Ovis aries: one gene and its partner. The protein of the gene in region 2 interacts with the protein of the main gene of each other region in a pairwise test. Links are inferred from orthologs where the notes say so. Each region holds a gene or a part of one and is shown on either strand. Other genes may lie near its edges.

The links. The genes of interacting proteins can lie anywhere in the genome.
Region 1: the proteins of ANKRD40 (region 2) and AHCY interact in binary tests that used the Homo sapiens proteins (3 or more experiments, as listed by UniProt). The two-hybrid records come from large-scale screens. The link is inferred for Ovis aries from reciprocal best matches to the Homo sapiens genes ANKRD40 and AHCY.

Annotation. Positions count from the first base shown.
Region 1 is NC_056066.1:63,682,139-63,685,617, forward strand, and holds the end of AHCY (adenosylhomocysteinase), read right to left. Parts: intron 1,738-3,479; coding exon 1,606-1,737; 3' UTR 865-1,605; downstream 1-864. UniProt on the Homo sapiens protein: Catalyzes the hydrolysis of S-adenosyl-L-homocysteine to form adenosine and homocysteine. Binds copper ions.
Region 2 is NC_056064.1:35,758,177-35,762,797, forward strand, and holds the start of ANKRD40 (ankyrin repeat domain-containing protein 40), read left to right. Parts: upstream 1-1,523; 5' UTR 1,524-1,788; coding exon 1,789-1,922; intron 1,923-4,621.

The sequences.
Region 1 (3,479 bases), on a different chromosome or scaffold from region 2:
GCTTGGCATGCTGTGATTCATGGGGTCGCAAAGAGCTGGACACGACTGAGCGACTGAACTGACTGACTGAAATGACCATTTAGGCGAACAGGACAGACCAATTTCCCACTCCCCTTCCTATGATTTGAGTCCTGAGGAGGCCACTTGTAATTGTGGACTTTAGGAAAGACACTTAACTCCTGTAAGTCTTCATTCTCATCTATAAAATTAGAATAATATTACTAAGCTCTTTGTGAGGATAGTGAAAATAAACTACAAAACACCTAATGGCAGGTGCTCAATAAACAACAGTCCCCGACGGAGTACTGGATCAATCCTAAGCGGAAACGAGGAGAAAAAGAAAATATAAATTGGAACAGAAAAAAATAAGGTAGAAGAAATAAATACTGAGATTACAATAAATATAAATAGGCAAAACTCACCTATTACATGAGTCTTAAGTGAAGAAGTGAAGTGAAGTCGCTCAGTCGTGTCCAACTCTTTGCGACCCCATGGACTGCAGCCTACCAGGCTTCTCTGTCCATGGGATTTTCCAGGCAAGAATACTGGAGTGGGTTACCATTTCCTTCTCCAGGGGATCTTCCCGACCCAGGGATTGAACCTGGGTCTCCCACATTGGAGGCAGGCGCTTTAACCTCTTGAGCCATGAGACTTAGATTGGGTAAAAAAAGCAGGCTGTTTGCAAAAGACACACCCTAAGAGGTAAGAGTTCTCTCATTTTACCCATTCTCTCAAGCCCAAGGGTTTGCCTGCAGCTCTTATTACCCCACACTGCAACACAGCAGACTCTTACAGCACATCACACTCCATGGCTTACACCACACACTGTTGGCAATGGATTTTCTACAAAATAAAGGCTCAAAATTCTTTTAGGCACCCAAATTTTTATTAACCCACCTTCTTGCTCTCTCTTAATATTATAAACCAAATTAACCTCTTTTTGACCCAGAGCTCTGATGGGAACCATCAATGTGCTTTTACGTTTCTCTGGCCCCTCTTAACCGCTGGCTGTCTTTCCTCTTGTCTTTTCTTGCTGAACAATATATTCTAACCCCTGTAAAATAGGGACTAAAAGTACCAACCTCATTGTTCTGAGGTTTAAGAGAATGCTAAGCACTAAGCCAGGCTCTCTGGAGCATTCAAACTCCCACAGTTCCTCCACACCCTTTGACGTAGCTCCTTCTCATCTGTCATGGGCTGAGGAACCAATGAACCTGTAAACCAAGAACATAAGTCTAAAGTCCACAGGCCAAGTGAAGGCCTGGATGGTAAAGTGCATGGGCTTTCTGACCACCACTGCCAACTTCCAGCCTAAGGAAGGACTGAGTGAGCAGTTGCTGAACCCCTGAGCTCATGGTTCCCTGTGGGTAACCCCCATGCACCTCCATTATGGCCCGGGCTAGAGGGGGGACTTCTCAACTTCCCCTGCCACACTTGGAACAGCTTGGGGGATGCAGCAGAGGCCCAAGACTGAGTGGCGAGCCCCAGGGAGTTGATGGGGGACATTATCAGACCAATCTCAAAGGTGGTGCCATTTGCTCTTGGGGAGGAGAGGTGGGACCCAGGCAAGGACAGCAGCTGGAAGGCAAAGGGCAGGCCCGGTTCTCAGTAGCGGTAGTGATCAGGCTTGAATGGACCTTCACGGGGCATGCCCAGGTACTGGGCCTGCTTCTCAGTCAGCTTGGTCAGCTTCACATTCAGCTTGCCCAGGTGGGCTTCAGCCACTGCTTCATCCAGCTGGGGAGAAACACAGGAAAAGCTGGAATCAGTGCCATGCTCTGGGACCCCTAACCTCCATCTTCTCACTGCCCAAAGAGGCGGGAACGGTTCTATTGTGACATCTGCTGAGTGTCAAGCGTATTATTTCATCCTGTCCTCACAGTGGATGTGTGTGGGTTTGGGCTGCTCAGCTTTTCTTCAAGGGGGAATCAAATTACATCTTCCCCTCCAGGCAGCCCTGGTGGGACCATCAGTTACATCTCCTCCTTCACCCTCCATCAACCTAAGCAGCTAACCAAAATGCTTCCTGCAATTTATCAATGAACAGGACATACTTTCATGACAGGGACTCTCAGGATTCCTAAACAGGGAGGCCATCGGTCTCAGCTCACCAACAGCAAGTTTATTTGACAAGTGAAGTGAATGCAGGGAGAACAGAAGAGCCAAGAAACAGAGAAAGACAGAGCTCTGATGCCCATGAATCCCCGGATCCAGTGTCTGAATCTGACGCTCTGCCATTACAGAACCAATAGCATTCCTTTTTGGATTACACTGGTTGTGGTTGTTTTAATGTACTTCCTGAGCAGTGGTGACCACAGCCGTCTTCCAAATATATCCTTTAAAATGTCTATAAATTAATAAAACACCTTCCTCCTTCAAGAGGTGGAGCCTACGTCCTCACCCCTCAAGTGGCTCATTTCTAATAAACAGAATGAAGCAGAAATGATGATGCGTGACTTGAAAACTGGGAGCTAAAAGGTACTTCAGCTTCCTCCTTTGCTCTCCCCCTGGATTTGGGGGAAGCCAGCTGCCATCTCAAGAGGAAACTTAAGCAGCTCTATGGAGAAGACACTTACGTGGCAAGGAACCTCCCACCCACGAGGATGTGAAGTGACTCTTCCAGCTCCAGTCAAGCCTTCAGATGACTGCAGCCCTGCCTGGGTGACTTCTTGACTCAAGTCCCATCCCACCACCATCCCATAATGGCACAATCGCCTTTAACCACAACCCAGATGCATGGTGGCTTCCCTGGTAGCTCAGCTAGTAAAGAATCCGCCTGCAATGTGGGAGACCCAGGATCGATCCCTGGGTTGGGAAGTTTCCCTGGAGAAGGGAATGGCTACCCTCCAGTATTCTGGCCTGGAGAATTCCGTGGACTATAGGGTCCATGGTGTTGCAAAGAGTCGGACACGACTGAGCAACTTTCACTTCACAGCCCAGAGAGCTTTATGTTCCCAAGTGGTTTCACATTCACTGTTTCATTAGAGGCAAACATCCCTACGAAGGAGGCCAGGGTTTATTTTTCTATTCAACAAATGAAGAAACTGGGGAGAGGCAGGCAAAGGCAGGAGCAGAGTCTAGCCCTAAGGCCATGGCAGTTCTGGAGGCAGAATGAAGGTCTCCAATGACCCGAGGATACAATGAATCCTCCCTTCGCTTGGCCTGGCCTGCACCCCACACTGGAGGGCACCCTACACCCGGAGGGCAGCGTGTCGTAATGGTTAACAGCCCAGACAGACAGGGCTGATCTATTCTTGGTCCAGTACTTTACAGTTGTGGGGGCAAGTCACTCTCTGAACCTTAAGTTCCCTCATCTGTAGGCTGGATCTCTCACAGTTCTTACAAACATCAGTGATATTCAAGAGGGCATGGTGCAGGCACCTTAATAAATGAGGGGGCTGCTCATGCTGTCATTATGGTTAACCAAGATATATAATCCCTTGCCCCACACACTGCACGTGAGTGTGAAGCATGTCCCC
Region 2 (4,621 bases):
TACCAAGCTTTTTGAACTGCTATTAAAAAAAAAAAAAAAAAAGAGGCCACTATCTACTCCCCTGTCACTTGAATTGTACTGAAGGGCCCAATTCCAGTACTACTCTGCACATCAGTTTCAGGTGGAGTACCATGCGGAGAGTTAAAAGTTTGTATTGGGGGACAAATGAAAGTGTCACCTCAAGCAGAGTTCCAGTTCACTATAAGGTCAGTGTAAGCATGCAGTCAGTTTATATTCAAACCATCTGGTGTGCACTGTGTACTGTGTGAATGTCTGTAACACAATAAACAGATACGAGTTTTTCATAAAACAGTAGCAAGAAGAAAGGGCATCCCCGGTGGCTCAGTGGTAAAGAATCCTGACTGCCAATGCAGGAAATGCATCCCCTGGAGTAGGAAAGGCAACCCACTCCAGTATTCTTGCCTGGAAAATTCCATGGACAGGGAGTCTGGCCGGCTACAGTTCATGGGGTTGCTGAGTGACTGAGCACGCAGGCACAGCAAGAAAAGTGCTTGCTGCGCAAACCCTGGGCTGCCCCAAGAGAGGGAAATGAAAACTCCATGCCTAAATTTGTCATTTCCTATTTTATCTCTTGTGTTCAGGCCTTCCTCCTCCCCACCCCAGGGTTACTCCTTAATCCTTCCAACCCCATCTGCAAGCTTCCATCCTGTGCCACATTGGAAGATCTTGCCCAGGAACCTGGGCTCAGCAAAACAATACTCTTCTTTTTCTCCTGCTGTGTAGTAAAGCAGCGCCAGCCCAGGCTCTGAGCCTCATTAGATTGATTAGCCAGAGAGTCAGGAAGAATGCTGTTTATACTTGGACCACTTCTCTCCCTAGCTCCTGATATTAAAGACTGGGATAACTTGAAAGCCTCTTTGGTGTTCTTTTCTATTTTCCTTACATGGCCTTCACGAAGAGTAATTAATTATGATTTAAAAGCAGTAACCAAAAAAAATAAAATAAAAGCAGTAATGAATCACAGTTTATAGACTCTGAGCACAGTATAAATATTTTTCCTGAAAGCCGAATTAGAAGAAATCTCTAAAATGTGAGTAAGACAACAGCAATTGAAATAAATAATCGAACTGAATGGTCCCAAGCAGTGTCAAAAGAAAGAATCGTGTATTCTATTTCTGCAATAATGGGCATATAATAGTGGGATCGTTTTCGGCCCATTTCCCCACCCTGCTAGGCAAGAGTTGATTCAGATAAGGAAAAAGAGCCACACAAACTGGGGAAAAAACAAAACCAATTATTACTATTATTTTTGTCTGTTTTCTTAAATCAATTATTTTTGATGCGTGGTAAACAGCCTGCTCCAGAGGATTAGGCCTTCCTGGCTCTCAAATACGCATTCTTCCCTTCCCTCGTTTCTGTCCTCCTCTCCAGAAACTGCCGGGTGGGGAGGTCTAAAAATAGTTGGTGAATCACGGCAGATAATATTGTGCAGCAGTTACATAAACAGCCCGCCCTCGCGCGCGCGGAGGGTAGGAACGGAAAATATCTGGGTCAGGGTTGTCACTCTGAATAGGTTCCCCCAGAGCCGGCCTGTGGGAGGCGCGGCCGGGAGGAGGTTTAGGCCCGCGGGCCGGGAGCAGCAGGGGAGCAGCGGGCGTGCCAAGAAGGGGGAACGGAGGCCCCTGGCTCGGCACGGGCTGCAGCGCGAGCGGGGCAGCTGTACCCCGCGCGGCCTCTCCATGGCGGGGAGTGGTCCGCGGCGGCGGCGGCGCTGACCGGCCGGGGCTGGGCGGGCGTGCCCTAGCGGGGGCCTGGGGCCAAAGAAAGATGAGCGCTCTCCTCGAGCAGAAGGAGCAGCAGGAGAGGCTGCGGGAGGCCGCGGCCTTGGGGGACATTCGGGAGGTGCGGAAACTGGTGGAGAGCGGGGTGGATGTGAACTCCCAAAATGAGGTCAACGGCTGGTAAGTGGGGAGCGGGGGAGGCCTAGGGTCAGAGCATCCAGCCCGGGACGCGACCTCGGCCTAGCGCAGTCCCGGAAGCCCGCTAAGGCGTGGCCCGGCACCCAGAGCCAACGAGGTTGTGCGCTCTGGAGGCTAGCACTGGCCCCCCTGCCTCGGAGAGTCTGCGGCGAGTCATGCCCAAATCCCGGCCCACGTGGTCCTGCGCCGGCAGCGCCCACCCGAACGCTGGCGCCCCGTGCCCCGCCGACCCCACCCCCACCCCCACCCCCATAACGTGTGCCAAAAGGTGCTGATTACTCTCACGCTCATTCGGAGCTCACCCAAGTTCGAGTTCGGAATTACTCTGAAGAACACATCTGTGCAGAGCAAAAAGCATAAACAGTTGAGCAAACGTGGATCTTGTAAACTAGCACGATTTCTTTTCCCAAGACTAGGGAAAATAAATCACTTGCATTGCTATTCTGCTTTTCTGTTGCCTTACTGCAGCAGTGATTTGCTGCTACCTACAGCTGCCTGTGGCAGGAAGACTCATTCATTAATCCTACATAATGTTTTGCTTTGTTTTCTTAAGACAGTTTGAAATATGAGACTTTATCCAAGACTTCAGATGCCTGCCAGTGATTGAGTCCTTCCCAACTAAATAAGGAGTCACATTTTAAGAAGTGCCGGTGGTCAATTTTTTTGTATTAAGTTACTGAATGTGGTGTTATTCCGCTCTCTTCACATTTAAATTTTTTTATTTGATCCAAGTAATGCTAATCAGGCTATTTGCTAGCTGAGAATTAAAGTGAGTTTGCAAATGTTTTATTTTTTAAAGTGGAATCATACAGTTTAAAACTAAAGGGAACATTGGAGATAGGTTCAATCCCAGAGATTAACCTGCCCTAGGTCACACAACTATTAATAGCCAGGACCAGAATCAGTTTCCTTACTTCCTCACAAGTTTATCTGCCAACTTACCCCAAAGAAAACAGCCTGGGTAACTGTTCAGAAAGCCAGGAAACAGTAGAAACTGCATTTTTGTTTTATTTTGTTTAAGTGTTTACAAACTAGCTTGCTTTTCTGTGTGTGTGATTTCTAGCATTTCTGTGTGGTTCACAAGCTGTGAATCACTGTTTTGGCACTGGGAGGCAGTGTTGTGTAGAACAAGCCTGGACTTGAGTGCTGGCTCTTCTCCATTCCTGCTTAGCAATATGACCTTGCCAGAGTCACTTCATTTTCTAGTTATTTCAGAAGAGTTGTGAGCATTTAAGGAAATGCAGCATAATATAAATAGGTAACATTTCCTGAGCTTGCTCTGTAGTGCAAACAAGGTTCCAAATGTATTATTTATGTGTATCATCTCATTCACAGCGGCTCAGGGACAGAGCTATTATCCTCTTGTTTTACAGATAGGAAAACTGAATAAGTAGTTTCCCTAAGAATTTACAGTAACTAATGGAGCTGGGAATGAAACCCAGCATCTGCCTCCAAACCATGCTTTCTTTTTTTTTTTTTTAATTGAAGAAGAATTGCTTTACAATATTGTGTTGGTTTCTGCCATACATCAACATGAATCAGCTGTAGATATACATATGTCCCCTCCCTCTTGACCCTCCTTCCCACCTCACACAATTTTCTTTTTTTCTGACCACACCTCGGGGCATGTGGGATCTTAGTTTCTGACCAGGAATTGAACCCGTGCCCTCTGCAGTGGTCATGAGGAGTCTTAGAAACCATACTTTCTTAACCACATAGTAAGTGCTCAGAAAAATATAAGAGTGTTGAACTATGAAGAGGCTCTCATAGACTTAATTGGGGGAAGATATCTAATAGGACTTCTACATGTCCAGGGTTGAGTTCTTGGTCTCCCTCATATCCCTAACTGTCCCCAGCCTGCTTGAGTCCGCATCTGAGCATCTGAGCTGCACTGGCTGGCCAGAATCTTTGGTGCACTCCTTACCTTCTGTCTTTCTCTCACAACCCACATCCAGTCAAGCTGCTAATCCTGCCAGCTTCACTAGCAGTGATGTAGTTAGAATCTGACCACTTCTCACTAGCTCTGCCACTACACGTCTTGTGCAAAGCCACCATCTGTCACCTGGATTAATGCAGTAGCCTCCTCATTAGTCCTATCCTATGTCTTTTCTCAGCACAGCAGCCAGAGGAATCCTGACTTAAAACACAGATCATTTAATTCTGCTTAAAACCCTTTAATGGCTCCAATCTCAAATGGAGGAAAAGCCCACAGGGTCCTACAGTTCAAATCCTTGTCCCTCAGCCCACACTCTATTTCTAAGCCTCATCTCTCGATTAACCCCCTTGCTCTCTTCGTTCCTTCCCCTGGCTTTCTTGCTTTTGCTGAAAACACCATGCACAGGACTTCTCTAGTGGTGCAGTGGTTGAAAATCTGCCTGCCAGTGCAGGGGACAATCCCTGGTCTGGGAGGATCCCACATGCTGTTGGGGCAGCTAAGCCTGTGCACCGCAACTACTGAGCCCGAGCTCTAAAGCCCGTGAGCCACGACTACTGAGCCCGCGTGCCCCAACCACCGAAGCCAGAGCATTCTAGAGTGAGTGCCCTGCAACAAGAAAAGCCACCAAAATGAGAAGCCCACATACCACAACTCGAGAGTGGCCCCTGCTCGCTGCCACTAGAGAAAGCCCTTGTGAAGCAACCAAGACCCAGCGCAGCCAAAAATAAACAAAACATCAGGCACA